3 linked regions of the Stegostoma tigrinum genome follow. Each later gene encodes a partner of the first gene's protein in a complex. Links are inferred from orthologs where the notes say so. Each region holds a gene or a part of one and is shown in the gene's direction. Other genes may lie near its edges. The genes, in order: ptpn23a, zinc finger FYVE domain-containing protein 16-like and zinc finger FYVE domain-containing protein 9-like.

The links.
Region 2: the proteins of ptpn23a (region 1) and zinc finger FYVE domain-containing protein 16-like are in contact, whole or in part, in a crystal structure (PDB 5MK0), measured with the Homo sapiens proteins. The link is inferred for Stegostoma tigrinum from reciprocal best matches to the Homo sapiens genes PTPN23 and ZFYVE16. Residues at the interface, in NP_056281.1 of Homo sapiens: Phe62, His125, Glu137, Glu138, Lys141, Val142, Cys144, Thr145, His146, Gln148, Cys149, Leu189, Lys192, Ser193, Asp196, Arg198, Lys199, Phe201, Leu202, Arg205, Ile206, Ala336, Leu338, Leu342, Asp348, Ala350, Val351; in NP_001098721.2 of Homo sapiens: Asp2, Tyr4, Phe5, Ala8, Val9, Leu12, Asp13, Leu15, Leu16, Asp17, Phe19, Glu20, Gln21.
Region 3: the proteins of ptpn23a (region 1) and zinc finger FYVE domain-containing protein 9-like are in contact, whole or in part, in a crystal structure (PDB 5MJY), measured with the Homo sapiens proteins. The link is inferred for Stegostoma tigrinum from reciprocal best matches to the Homo sapiens genes PTPN23 and ZFYVE9. Residues at the interface, in NP_056281.1 of Homo sapiens: Phe62, His125, Glu137, Lys141, Val142, Cys144, Thr145, His146, Gln148, Cys149, Leu189, Lys192, Ser193, Asp196, Arg198, Lys199, Leu202, Arg205, Ile206, Ala336, Leu338, Leu342, Asp348, Ala350, Val351; in NP_004790.2 of Homo sapiens: Glu2, Tyr4, Phe5, Gln6, Glu8, Ala9, Leu12, Asp13, Val15, Leu16, Asp17, Phe19, Glu20.

Annotation. Positions count from the first base shown.
Region 1 is NC_081358.1:98,494,903-98,498,651, reverse strand, and holds the start of ptpn23a (tyrosine-protein phosphatase non-receptor type 23), read left to right. Parts: upstream 1-931; 5' UTR 932-973; coding exon 974-1,057; intron 1,058-3,749. UniProt on the Homo sapiens protein: Plays a role in sorting of endocytic ubiquitinated cargos into multivesicular bodies (MVBs) via its interaction with the ESCRT-I complex (endosomal sorting complex required for transport I), and possibly also other ESCRT complexes.
Region 2 is NC_081356.1:101,132,665-101,136,413, reverse strand, and holds the start of zinc finger FYVE domain-containing protein 16-like, read left to right. Parts: upstream 1-795; 5' UTR 796-876; intron 877-3,749.
Region 3 is NC_081361.1:64,112,643-64,116,391, forward strand, and holds the start of zinc finger FYVE domain-containing protein 9-like, read left to right. Parts: upstream 1-1,402; 5' UTR 1,403-1,583; intron 1,584-1,596; exon of another isoform or gene 1,597-1,820; intron 1,821-3,749. UniProt on the Homo sapiens protein: Early endosomal protein that functions to recruit SMAD2/SMAD3 to intracellular membranes and to the TGF-beta receptor.

The DNA of each region.
Region 1 (3,749 bases):
CCTTCAAGATACACAACACAGAATCACGAGCAGAAACTGATAGCTAAGCTCTGTACCCATGAAGGCAGCCTCAGCCGTGATCTTGGGTTCATAATCACATTACATGTGACCCCACCACACTGTCCTGTATCTGGAAAATCTTCCTTACTGTCCTGTTTCGTCACCACCACCTGGATAAATTATTATGATCTCTCGACCGTAATTGGTTTGCACAGTTTTGGATTACAACAACTCAGGATGTAACTGTTATACCTATCATGTTATTCCAGTCATTTGGATCGTCTCTGACACCACCTTATTTTTAAAGTTTTTGTAATTATCTCTCTGCCTCATTTAATCAGACTATAGGTTATCCCTTTGCTCGTTATTCAGCTGTTGACACTATATTCACACCATCTAACAGTTTGGATGACCTGCAGCGACTTATTATTTGACCCTTCGAAAGCTTGTTTGTTTTCAAATAAACTTGTTAGACTATAACCTGGTTCAGAGATAGTAGGAACTCCCATTTCTGAAGAAGCGAATAAGCCCGAAACGTCAGCCTTCCTCCTCCTCTGATGCTGCTCGGCCTGCTGTGTTCATCCAGCTCCACACCTTGTTATGTCAGACTGTAACCTGGTGTCGAGTGATTTCCGACTTCGTCCAGCCCAGTGCAAAGCCGGCACCTCCACATTCTAATAATAGGTAGCGTGCAACGTCAGAAAATGCGATACCTTCTGCGTATAAACCGATATCTTCTGAGCCACCATCAGTTTTGAAGGCTCACCGGACCCGAGACGTTAATTCTCCTCACAGATGCTGCCAGACCCCCTAAGATTTTCCAGCAACTTCTGTTTTCGCCCCTTCTTAGTGTGGTGAAGGCTCCCAGAGAGCGCGGGGGTGAACTACAATTCCCACAAGGCTCAGGGTGCCGACGTGACGTCATATCCGCTGGGTGACGCCACGACTGGCTGGTCTCGGTTGTCCTTCCAACATGGAGGCCGTGCCGCGGATGCCGATGATCTGGCTGGATTTGAAGGAAGCCGGGGAGTTTCCTTTCGCCAGTGCAGTCCGACAGGTAAATAAGAATGACGGAGAATCGGCCGAAGATCGAAAGCAGGGCTTGGTGTTCTTCATCTGAGTTAGATTATTCTGAGAACTAACAACGCCAAGGCGTCCAGACTCTGGCTGTTCGGTTGGGAGGAGGAGGAGGAGGAGACGGCCTCCGCTGGCGTCACTGAGGCCCCTGAATGTTTCTGCTGAGCCCCTATGAATCCCAGGAACCGTATCCGGGCCCTGCGCCTACCACCTTTAACATTAAGAGTTCGGCATCTTGTTTTTAAATAGATTTGCTGTTCCTTTTGATTGCTCGTCATTCCATTCGCTATTAACTTGCAGACTCGGACAGCGAAACGTCTGAGGCTGAACCAAACCATTTTTTTCCTTGATGTTATTCTTCACCTAAGATGAGCTTCACAAAGGGCATTCAACGCCATCACGCCATGATGAGTGTAACAGTCAGCTGTCAGCAGACACCCAACATAATGCAGATCAAAGGTGCTGCAAAATACTGGAATGCTCAACAAGGCAGGCAATGGCCGTGGAGTGAAACAAAGTTAATGTTTCACGTTGAGGCATCCTTTCATCACAATCATGACCTTCCTTGTGAAAGATGCTGTCTGACCAGCTGAGTTTTTTTTTTAAAAATAGTTTCATATTACTTTAGTTCCAACACTGTGGGTTCAAATCCCACTCCAGAACTTGACCAGACAAATCAAGATGGATGCAGCAGTCAGTACTGAGGGAGGTACAGTCATTGGATGACCCAACAACCAGCTGCTGTATGCCTTTTTTCTCCCTCTTTCCCCCAACATACAAATTTTTAACTATTTCACTAAATGTTGACATTGTTGTCAACATCAAAAATTAGTTGTCCATCCCTAAGTGCCCTTGAAAGGTGATTGGAATTACCTTCTTGAATCTCAATGGCCCGTCTGGTGCGGCTGGGAAAGAAAAGTTACATGATTTTGCCTCCATCCTAGTTCCAAGTCAGGAATGCTGCACCAATGGACTTGTAAGTGGTGATCTTCCCATGGCCTTACTTCCCTCATTTTTCCAGGTGCCAGAAGTTACATGTTTGAATGGTACAGTTGAAGAAGTGTTGGTCAAATGCGTGGCAGTAATTTGTAAATGGTGCTGGACAATGTGAATGTTTTAGTTGATCAGTGGGTGCCAATAAAGTGAAATGCTTTGTTCCAGATTGTGATGAGTTTCTTCTGTGATGCCAGGACTGCATTCATCCAAGCAAATACAAAGCATTCCATTACACTCCTGACTCGTGAGTTAACCACCTCACAGTTTGTGGTTACTGATCAGTTGAGTTTCTGGTCAGTGGTAATCGATTCAATGATGGTAATTTCATTGTCTGACAAGAGGAGATGGTAAGATTTCCTCTTGGTAGAGATTGTCATGCCAGCTACTTATGGGTTGGGGATAGTACTTGCCACTTGACAGCTCAAGCCTAAAGAGTAGGCCTTGTTGTATATGGTTTGGACTACTTCAGTGTCTGAGGAGTTGGAAATGTCACTGAATCAGAAAATATCACATTTCTGACCTTGTTGGGAAGGTCATTGAAGTAGCTGAAGCTGTTTGGACCTAGGATGTTACCCTGAGGAATTCTTGACCTGAGATGATTGACCTTCTTGTATATTGACTAAAACATTAACTGTTTCTCTGCTGATATGGCCAGACCTGTTGAGTTTCTCCAACACCTCTGATTTTATTTCAGATTTCCAGCCATTGCATTACTTTGCAGTTCCTTGTGTTATGTGTGTCCCCCAGCTGTGACCGCCCCATTTGATTATGTCTCATGATTTGACATGGAGTATAAGGCAGCATCATTTTCTCAATGTCAAAATGTGTTCTTCGGCATATACGTGGAGATGTCTAAATCTCACCTCCACTTTCTGTTACTGTATTTCGATTGATTTATTGTCACCTGTACCAAATTATGGTGAAAAGCTTTGTTTAGGAGCAGTACAGGCAGATCATAGGAAGCAAAGATATACGGATCAAAAAGATATAGACAGAGGCATACAAGTTACATTGCACAGGGCACGTGCTAGGCAAGATCAGCAGTGTTTGAGGCTAGAGAGTCCCTTCATCAGGTTTAATAATGGCTGGGAAGAAGCTATTCCTGACCCTGTTGGTGCATGTATTCAGGCTCCCGTATCTTCTGTCTGACAGAAGAAGTTATAGGAGATTATTATCAGGGTCAGATGGGTCTTTATTGATATTTCCTCAGTCTCCCTGGATTAAACTGATCTGGAAAGTGTAATCTTTTTTAAAAACAATTCTAAAAATTGCTCTATGGATGAGCCACTTCAGTTATTAGGAAAGATTTCTTAGGGTGGGACTATTTTCCATGGAGAGGAGAAGGCTAAGAGGGGATTTGACTAATGTTTTCAAAATCATGAGGGGCTTTGGCAGAGTAGATCAAGAACCAGAGGGGATTAGTTTTTAAATACTTTGCAATAGAAGTAAATTTGAGGTGAGGAAAACCTTTTTCTCACAGTGAGTAGTTACGGTATGGATTGCACTGTTTGGAAGTATGATCGGTAGATTTAATGGAGGTATTCAGCCGAGCATTGGATTATTATTTAATTAGAAACAGGTACAGGTTATGGGGAAATAAAATAGATGTTTGGCTATATGTTAAACTGTTCAGAAGATTAGTTCAGGCACAATGGGATGAGTGGCTCTGTCTTGCA
Region 2 (3,749 bases), on another chromosome or scaffold:
ATTAACTCCGTTTCCGACTGCCAGACCTGTCGAGCTTTTCCAGCAATTTCTGTTTTTGTTTCTGATTTACAGCATCCACAGTTCTCTCGGGGGTATTTTTTAACCTCAGTTCCTCACCTTTTTGATTGGGCAGTCTTTACGCGACGGGATGATTCTCCGTGGTCCTCAGTTCCGAGGAAGGGTCACCGGACTCGAAACGTTAATTCTGATTTTTTTCCTTCACAGACGCTGCCACACCTGCTGAGCTTTTCCAGCAACTTTGGTTTTGTTCTCTGTGGTGTGTTTTGGCTGGTAAGGGATGCTCAGCTCATTCGTCTGAGCATCGCCGCTTCAGGGTGAAGCCGGACGAATGCGGCAGCGGTGACATATAAAAAGAAAAGGCTGGGGAAACTCGGCAGGTCCGGCAGCATTCGTGAAGAGAGAAACAGAGGTAATGTTTCGGAGCACAGTTCTGAAGGAAGGATCACCGGACCCGAAACGTTAATTCTTGTTTTTACCTTCACAGATGCTGCCAGATCTGCTGAGCTTCTCCAGCAACTTCGTTTGTGTTTGTGAAGGAAGGGTCACCGGACTCGAAACGTTAACTCTTGTTTTTCCCTTCACAGGTTGCTGTCACAGTTTCCTTCGGCAATCGCTGTTCTTATTTGTTTTAGATTCCGCAGCTCCGCAGTTCTTTACTTTGTTTTAGCGGAGCGTAGACACTGGGCTCGGCAGTGACCGTTGGAGCCTTAGGCCCCGCCCCGGTTCCTGTGGTGACCGCTGACCCCCTGCCCCGCGCCAGGTCACCCAGCGCCGCGCATGCGCTGTGTCTGGCCTTTCCCCTCCCCCAATACACACACAGAAAACCCCGGGAGAGGAAGCCGTAACTCAGCTATGGTGAGTGATCATGGTCGAACTCATTCGGTTTTGTTTAACCGTCGACGCAGTGGGGCGTAAACAAAAACAAAATTATCCGGGCTTGACGGCCTGACCGCCCCTTCCACCGCCCTGTTCCCTCGCATCCCCTGCCACAACCCCAGGGTCGAGATAACTGCCTCCCTTTTTCCTCCACCTCGAAGGACTTAAGCGGATCTCGTCCCGATAGCTGAAGCCCCCACCCCCACCCCTGGTTAATTACGGTCCTGCTGCTGGCACATACTCGTCCCGTGTCTCCAGATCTCAAGTAGGGACCGGGGACGACAGCGAAGGCCTTCGCTCTCCTTCCAGACTTTATCCAAGGACTTCATAATAGTTTCTATTTGACCGCTGGTAACCCTGCAGTTCATTGCTCCCAGTGAATATGTTAGAATGGTTCTGGTTTTAGGAACAGAGAGCTGAGCACTGTGCTGTTAAGTTCTCTTGCTAGTGAAATTGAAGAATGCCGCTGTATTTATTCTTTGCCTTGGTTATGTTAACTTGCACCGAAATTCTCCTGACTTCGTTACGTGAGACATAGTAGCTACTATGTGTCATTTCACGAGAGCAAGCCTGGATTATCATTCTTTAACCTTTTTAACTGTACTGTTTTAATATTGTTTTGTTTCTGTAAATTTGGGAAGTACCTTCGTGCGTAATACTTATATTGCGAATATTACTGGATGTATGTTACATAATCTGTCTAATCAACATGTTAAAATGTTTAAAATATACCACTTCTCATCCTCTCTGAAACCAATTTTTCTGGAAAAAAACTGTTGTACCTTTAACAGGATGTTGTCAATGGCATTCTGCTTGCATTTCATCAATTTATTGTACTAACATCTATGTAGGTTGGTAGCTTTGCTCATGCCATGTTTTGCTTTGGGAGAATTAAGAATTCTTACTCTTCACTTCACTTAATTTTTGCAAGGCAATTTGCAGTTGCTTCTTTTAGTTTTACTAATTGTTCTTCCTTGAATTTACCATTCTGTAATATTCAGTTGCTGATTAGTTAGTGATATGTTATTTGAATGATCACAGATTTTTACCTGGGTTTGATTAAGCATTTTTTGCAAGTGCCTTTTTCATCCTTCCCTTTGGTACTATTACAAAATGATAGATTTCTTGTATGCTGCCAAATTTACTTCCAGCCACATTTCTAAATATCTTGTTCTTGAGCTATCTTCCTACACCTCTACTTTACTTTATTTTTTGGGATTAATTGATGAACTTTATTTGTGAGTCTGTTAATATGATGAATGTGGCAGTTTGCAGATGGAGTGGTGCAGTGGTTAGTACTGCTGCCTCAGCACCAAGAGCCCCGGTTCAATTCCAACCTTAGGTGACTGTCTGCGTGGAGTTTGTTCGTTCTCCCTGTGTCTGTGTGTGTTTCTGCTGGTAGCTTAGGTTCGTTCTCATAGTCCAAAGATAGGCATACATGGTGAATTGGCTGTCGTAAATGGCCCAAAAGTGTCCAGTAATGAGCAGGCTGGGTGGATTAGCTGTATTAAATGCAAAATTATGGGGATAGTGTGGGTTTGGGTGGGATGCTGTTTGATGCAGACTTGATGAGCCAAATGTCTTTGTCTGTATTGTAGGGATTCTATGATTCTATAATCAGCCATGTTATGCTCAATTGATAATGGGAACTGCAGATGCTGGGGAATCCAAGATAGCAAAGTGTGGAGCTGGATGAACACAGCAGGCCAAGCAGCAACTCAAGAGCACAAAAGCTGATGTTTCAGGCCTAGACCCTTCATCAGAGAGGGGGATGGGGACAGGGTTCTGGAATAAATAGGGAGAGAGGGGGAGGTGGACCGAAGATGGAGAGAAAAGAAGATGAGGAGAGTACAGGTGGGGAGGTAGGGAGGGGATAGGTCAGTCGGGGAAGACGGACAGGTCAAGGAGGCGGGATGAGGTAGTAGGTAGGAAATGGAGGTGCGACTTGAGGTAGGAGGAAGGGATGGGAGAGAGGAACAACAGGTAAGGGAAGTGGAGACAGGCTGGGCTGGTTTTGGGATACAGTGGGGGGAGGGGAAGAACTGGGCTGGTTTTGGGATGCAGTGGTGGAAGGGAAGATTTTGAAGCTTGTGAAGTCCACATTGATAGCATTGGGCTGTAGGGTTCCCAAGCCGAGTATGAGTTGCTGTTCTTGCAACCTTCGGGTGGCATCATTGTGGCACTGCAGGAGGCCCATGATGGACATGTCGTCTGAGGAATGGGAGGGGGAGTTAAAATGGTTCGCGACTGGGAGGTGCAGTTGTTTATTGCGAACCGAGCAGAGGTGTTCTGCAAAGCGGTCCCCAAGTCTCCGCTTGGTTTCCCCAATGTACAGGGAGCCACACCGGGTACAATGGATACAGTATACCACATTGGCAGATGTGCAGGTGAACATGTGCTTAATGTGGAAAGTCATCCTGGGGCCTGGGATGGGGGTGAGGAAGGAGGTGTGGGGACAAGTGTAGCACTTCCTGCAGTTGCAGGGGGAGGTGCTGGGTGTGGTGGGGTTGGAGGAGAGTGTGGAGCGGGCAAGGAAGTCACGGAGAGAGTGGTCTCTCCAGAAGGCAGACAAGGGTGGGGATGGAAAAATGGCTTGGGTGGTGGGGTTGGATTGTAGATGGCGGAAGTGTCGGAGGATGATGCGTTGTACCCAGAGGTTGGTGGGGTGGTGTGTCAGAACGAGGGAGATCCTCCTGGGGCAGTTGTGGTGGGGGCGGGGTGTGAGGGATGTGTTGTGGGAAACACGGGAGACGCAGTCAAGGGTGTTCTCGACCACTGCAGGGGCAAAGTTGCTGTTCCTGAAGAACGTGGACATCTGGGATGTGCGGGAGTGGAATGCTTCATCGTGGGAG
Region 3 (3,749 bases), on another chromosome or scaffold:
AGTTATTTGAAGAAGAATGTAAATCATATTGCCCCTGCGCTCCAAAATCAAACGTTAAAGAATAGAAGAGGTGTGAGATTTCAACCCAGAGCGTCACGATGGTGCAGGCTTGTGGTTTGCCGATGCTGACTTCTGTGGACGAAAGTTTGCTGAGAATGGTAATCATGGTAATTATTGACATGTCTGGAACTTGTACCATCTAGATTTTTAGGAAGGCTTGGAACAAAGTGAGTTGGCTTAATAATGAGATGCAAATACATGGGAAAGATGTCGCTGTGCAAAAGTGTGATTCTTTAAGAGCGTCAAAGTTCAACGCGAAAATTACGTTTTCTCGAAGTGAAGATTCTGATGTTTTCGTTTTCATTATTTTTCCAACTTTGTTGCCATTGTCTATGCGGGAGCAGAAGGACATTCAGCATATGTGCAATTAATAACTGTATGTGATAGAATAGCATGCAAGAATGTCTAATAAAGCATGCAGGCTCCTCCGCTTTATTGAAAGAAATATACAGTACAACATCAAGCAAGTTGTGATAAACTTGTACACATTTCAGTATTATGTCCGGTTGTGAGCACTACAGTTTTGGAAGACTTTAAGCATACAGCAAAGTTAACATGAATCATTCCAAGCAGCGAAAAGTTCAGCTACATGATTAGACTGGGGAAATTGGGTCCTGGCAAAGAGAATGTTGAGATGAGATTTTGATGGGCATATTCAAAATGATGAAAGAGTGTGACAGAGTAGATAGAGCGAAAGATTTCCTATTGCGGAAGAGCCCAAAACCCGAGATTAAAGCTAACCAGCAAATGAAACAATGTCAAAACTTGAGTTAAACCTTTTAAAATGCACTGCCCGAGAGTGTGATGGGGATGGGTTCGATCATGCCATTGAAAGAGAATTGGGTCATTATATAAGTAAGGGAAACAAAGTGCGGCGCAAAAGTTAAAAAGGTAGGGGGACATACCTAATTCAATTGTTTCTGGCAAAGCGCCAGCATGGAGAATATGGGCCGAATGACCTCATTCCATGCGGATTTTAAATATCTAGGCCGTCTTTGTTTATGAAATTATCTGGACAGTGTTTACTCTTGACCGCTGCTTCAATGGAAACGAAGCAACAAATGCGCCAAACAGTTTACAAGCCATCGCTGTAACGTGCTCATGAAAAGAACCAGTCGCTGCTCCGGGAGTACGGATCTGAGGAGCTGTTCGCAGAAGCAGGTAAGATATAGACCAATTGAAAATAGTCGTTCAAGTCCTAACTATCTGATTGGCGATTCGCTCAAGCGGCGTATGTTCTGAGGATACGGATTGGTCAGTTGAGGGGTCGTGTCTGTGGAGGGTGGGCGGGAGTGACTGGTGATTGGTCAGATTGGATGGCGCGGTCGGATTGGCGGTTGGAAGGCTGCCGCTGGTATTTTCCAAACGTCAAGCGCGTGATGGATGGCTGTTGAGTTGATGTCGATGGAGAGGGTGAAGCGTTGCGGATCTTGCCTATTAAGATGCAGAGTGGATAATAGCGACCAACGGTGTGGCCGGCGACATTCTTCAACCCCGTCTTGGAAGCGATGAACCCGCGTCTGGTAAGGAAACAAAGTCCGGGAGCGATGTGAATTGTTTAAAGGGATTTGGACCGCCCTCCGTGCGACCCCGACGGCTCGCTGGATATTGCGCCTGCTGAGGAGATGGCAGCCGAGGGCAAGCGTGTGCTTTGCGGATATTACCGAAGCACTTACTCCCATGCTTCGGGTAGGCCTAAGAAGACAGTGTTGAAATAGTCCACCGCCTGGCTTTCTGAGCACGATTTTTTTTTCGGGAAGGTGTGTGTGTGTGTGTGCGCGCGCGAGAGAGATTGGTTTGTGCCTTGTCTAGCAAGTCTGCAAATATTTGAATTTCGTCATTAGTCCTAGATTTAAATGCTGCGGATTAAAGCAATCGTACATGGCACAGAAGGTGGGGGAGGGTGGGACTCATTCGTTTATTTTGCAGGGTGTAACTCCTGGGCTTGACGGCACTACTGCGTTTTGACTAGGAATAGATTTGACTTGGCTTTCATTAACAGAAAGCATAACTGCAAAAGATGTGTCCTGATCTGTTTGTAAAAACTGCTTCGCACCTTCGTAAAACACGTAATCTTCATAGACAAAAACCACAAGATTTTCGCAATTCCGAACAGTGGGTGCAGAGGTCATACAGCCCTTATCGTCTCCCGTCAAAACAAAATGTGCCGCAGAATCATGCTAAAAAGTTTTCTCATTATTAACCTCCGGGTTCTGTTGTAAAGTGCAAACGACGACAGAGACAAAATAGTGCAGGACGCTTTTTGGATCCAAAACAAATGAGATCAGTCGTTGGTTTTAGCCAGTTTTACCCTACGATGTCTAGGGAATATTTCTGTCTCCCAACAACTTTGTTCTTAAATATTATAAATTGTAGCAATGATATTGAGTAATGCTGAAGGTTCGCTGCATACTTTTTATGCTTACTTTTTTGGAGCACAGGGACGAAGAAACGACTACACACAATTCAACCGAAGGTTTCGAAATTCAGTGATCCGTGTCAAAATTCATCTTTAACTTTTAGATTGCTGAGTGTACAATGATTCTTAAAAAAGTTACTTTGTGTGATTCCTTACTGGAAAGGAACAATAAGCTTTGTATGACAGTAGTCCTGCAGTTGCTAGTTGCTGACTGCCGTGCATTTAGTGTGGAAAGCAGGTCTGGCTGTTTCGTAAAGAGGGAGAGCGCTAAGTTGGTACCGTGAACGAATTATGTCAGTTTGTTAGAGGATTAAGAAATTAAGTTTGCAATTTAGTTGCGATTAACATTTGAGTTTTTAAAGGGTGAGATGGGAAAATGTGTTTATGAAAAATGCTTGCTGAATTGGGATTAGTTAACTGGAACAGAGATTAAGGAATTTTCACCATTGTAAATTTTGACAGTAGTAATGAGGAAGAAAATTTGGGATTGTCAGTACTCCTGTTTATAGCTGCTTCTGCCAGGAGATCTGCTGTCATGGCATGCCACGTTCATCTGCCCTGCTGCATTCTCGTGTGTCTGCTGTAGCTCGTTTGTAACCATGCCATGACATCTGCGATTCAACTGTGCCTATGTCAACCCCTCTTCTGCCCTCCACTAGAAGAGATCTCTGCAGCATTTCAGTTCCGATCTCAAAATTCTTACTTTATTGGGTGTTGTTTTTCTAAGAATTATTTTTGTTTTTGGCCTTCATTTGACTTGTATATGGAATTTTTTAACATGCTGCTTAATGTCCATGTTCTTAATAGATAAAAAAGTCAAGATTTTATTTTATAAAATGGCACTGTTCAATTCAAATAGCTCATGAGATGGTACCATAACCTATTTCAAAGGAGAATTATGCACACGTGGAAGGGAATAAGCAATTTGAATTGCTTTGAGTCTTTCACTGCCTTAGCACTTGCCAAAGCATTTTTCCAGTTTGGTGATTTTGGGTTCAACATTAAATGTTGGCCAGGTTGTGTGGAGACCTCTTCCACCCTGTTAAAATACAGATTGTATTTCTCCAGATGTGCTCTAGTTTACTGCTTTTATTTGAGTAAGATGCAACACTATTTTCCAGCTTGTTTTTTCAGCTAAGATTATGTGCTTAAGTCTCTGTAACAAGACTTGACCTTGTAACTAAGATGAGTGTGCTATTGCTGAACCAAAGCTACTGCCAAAGAAATATGAGATTTATGTAGATGGTTGCAGTTGAACAAGTTTCTTATT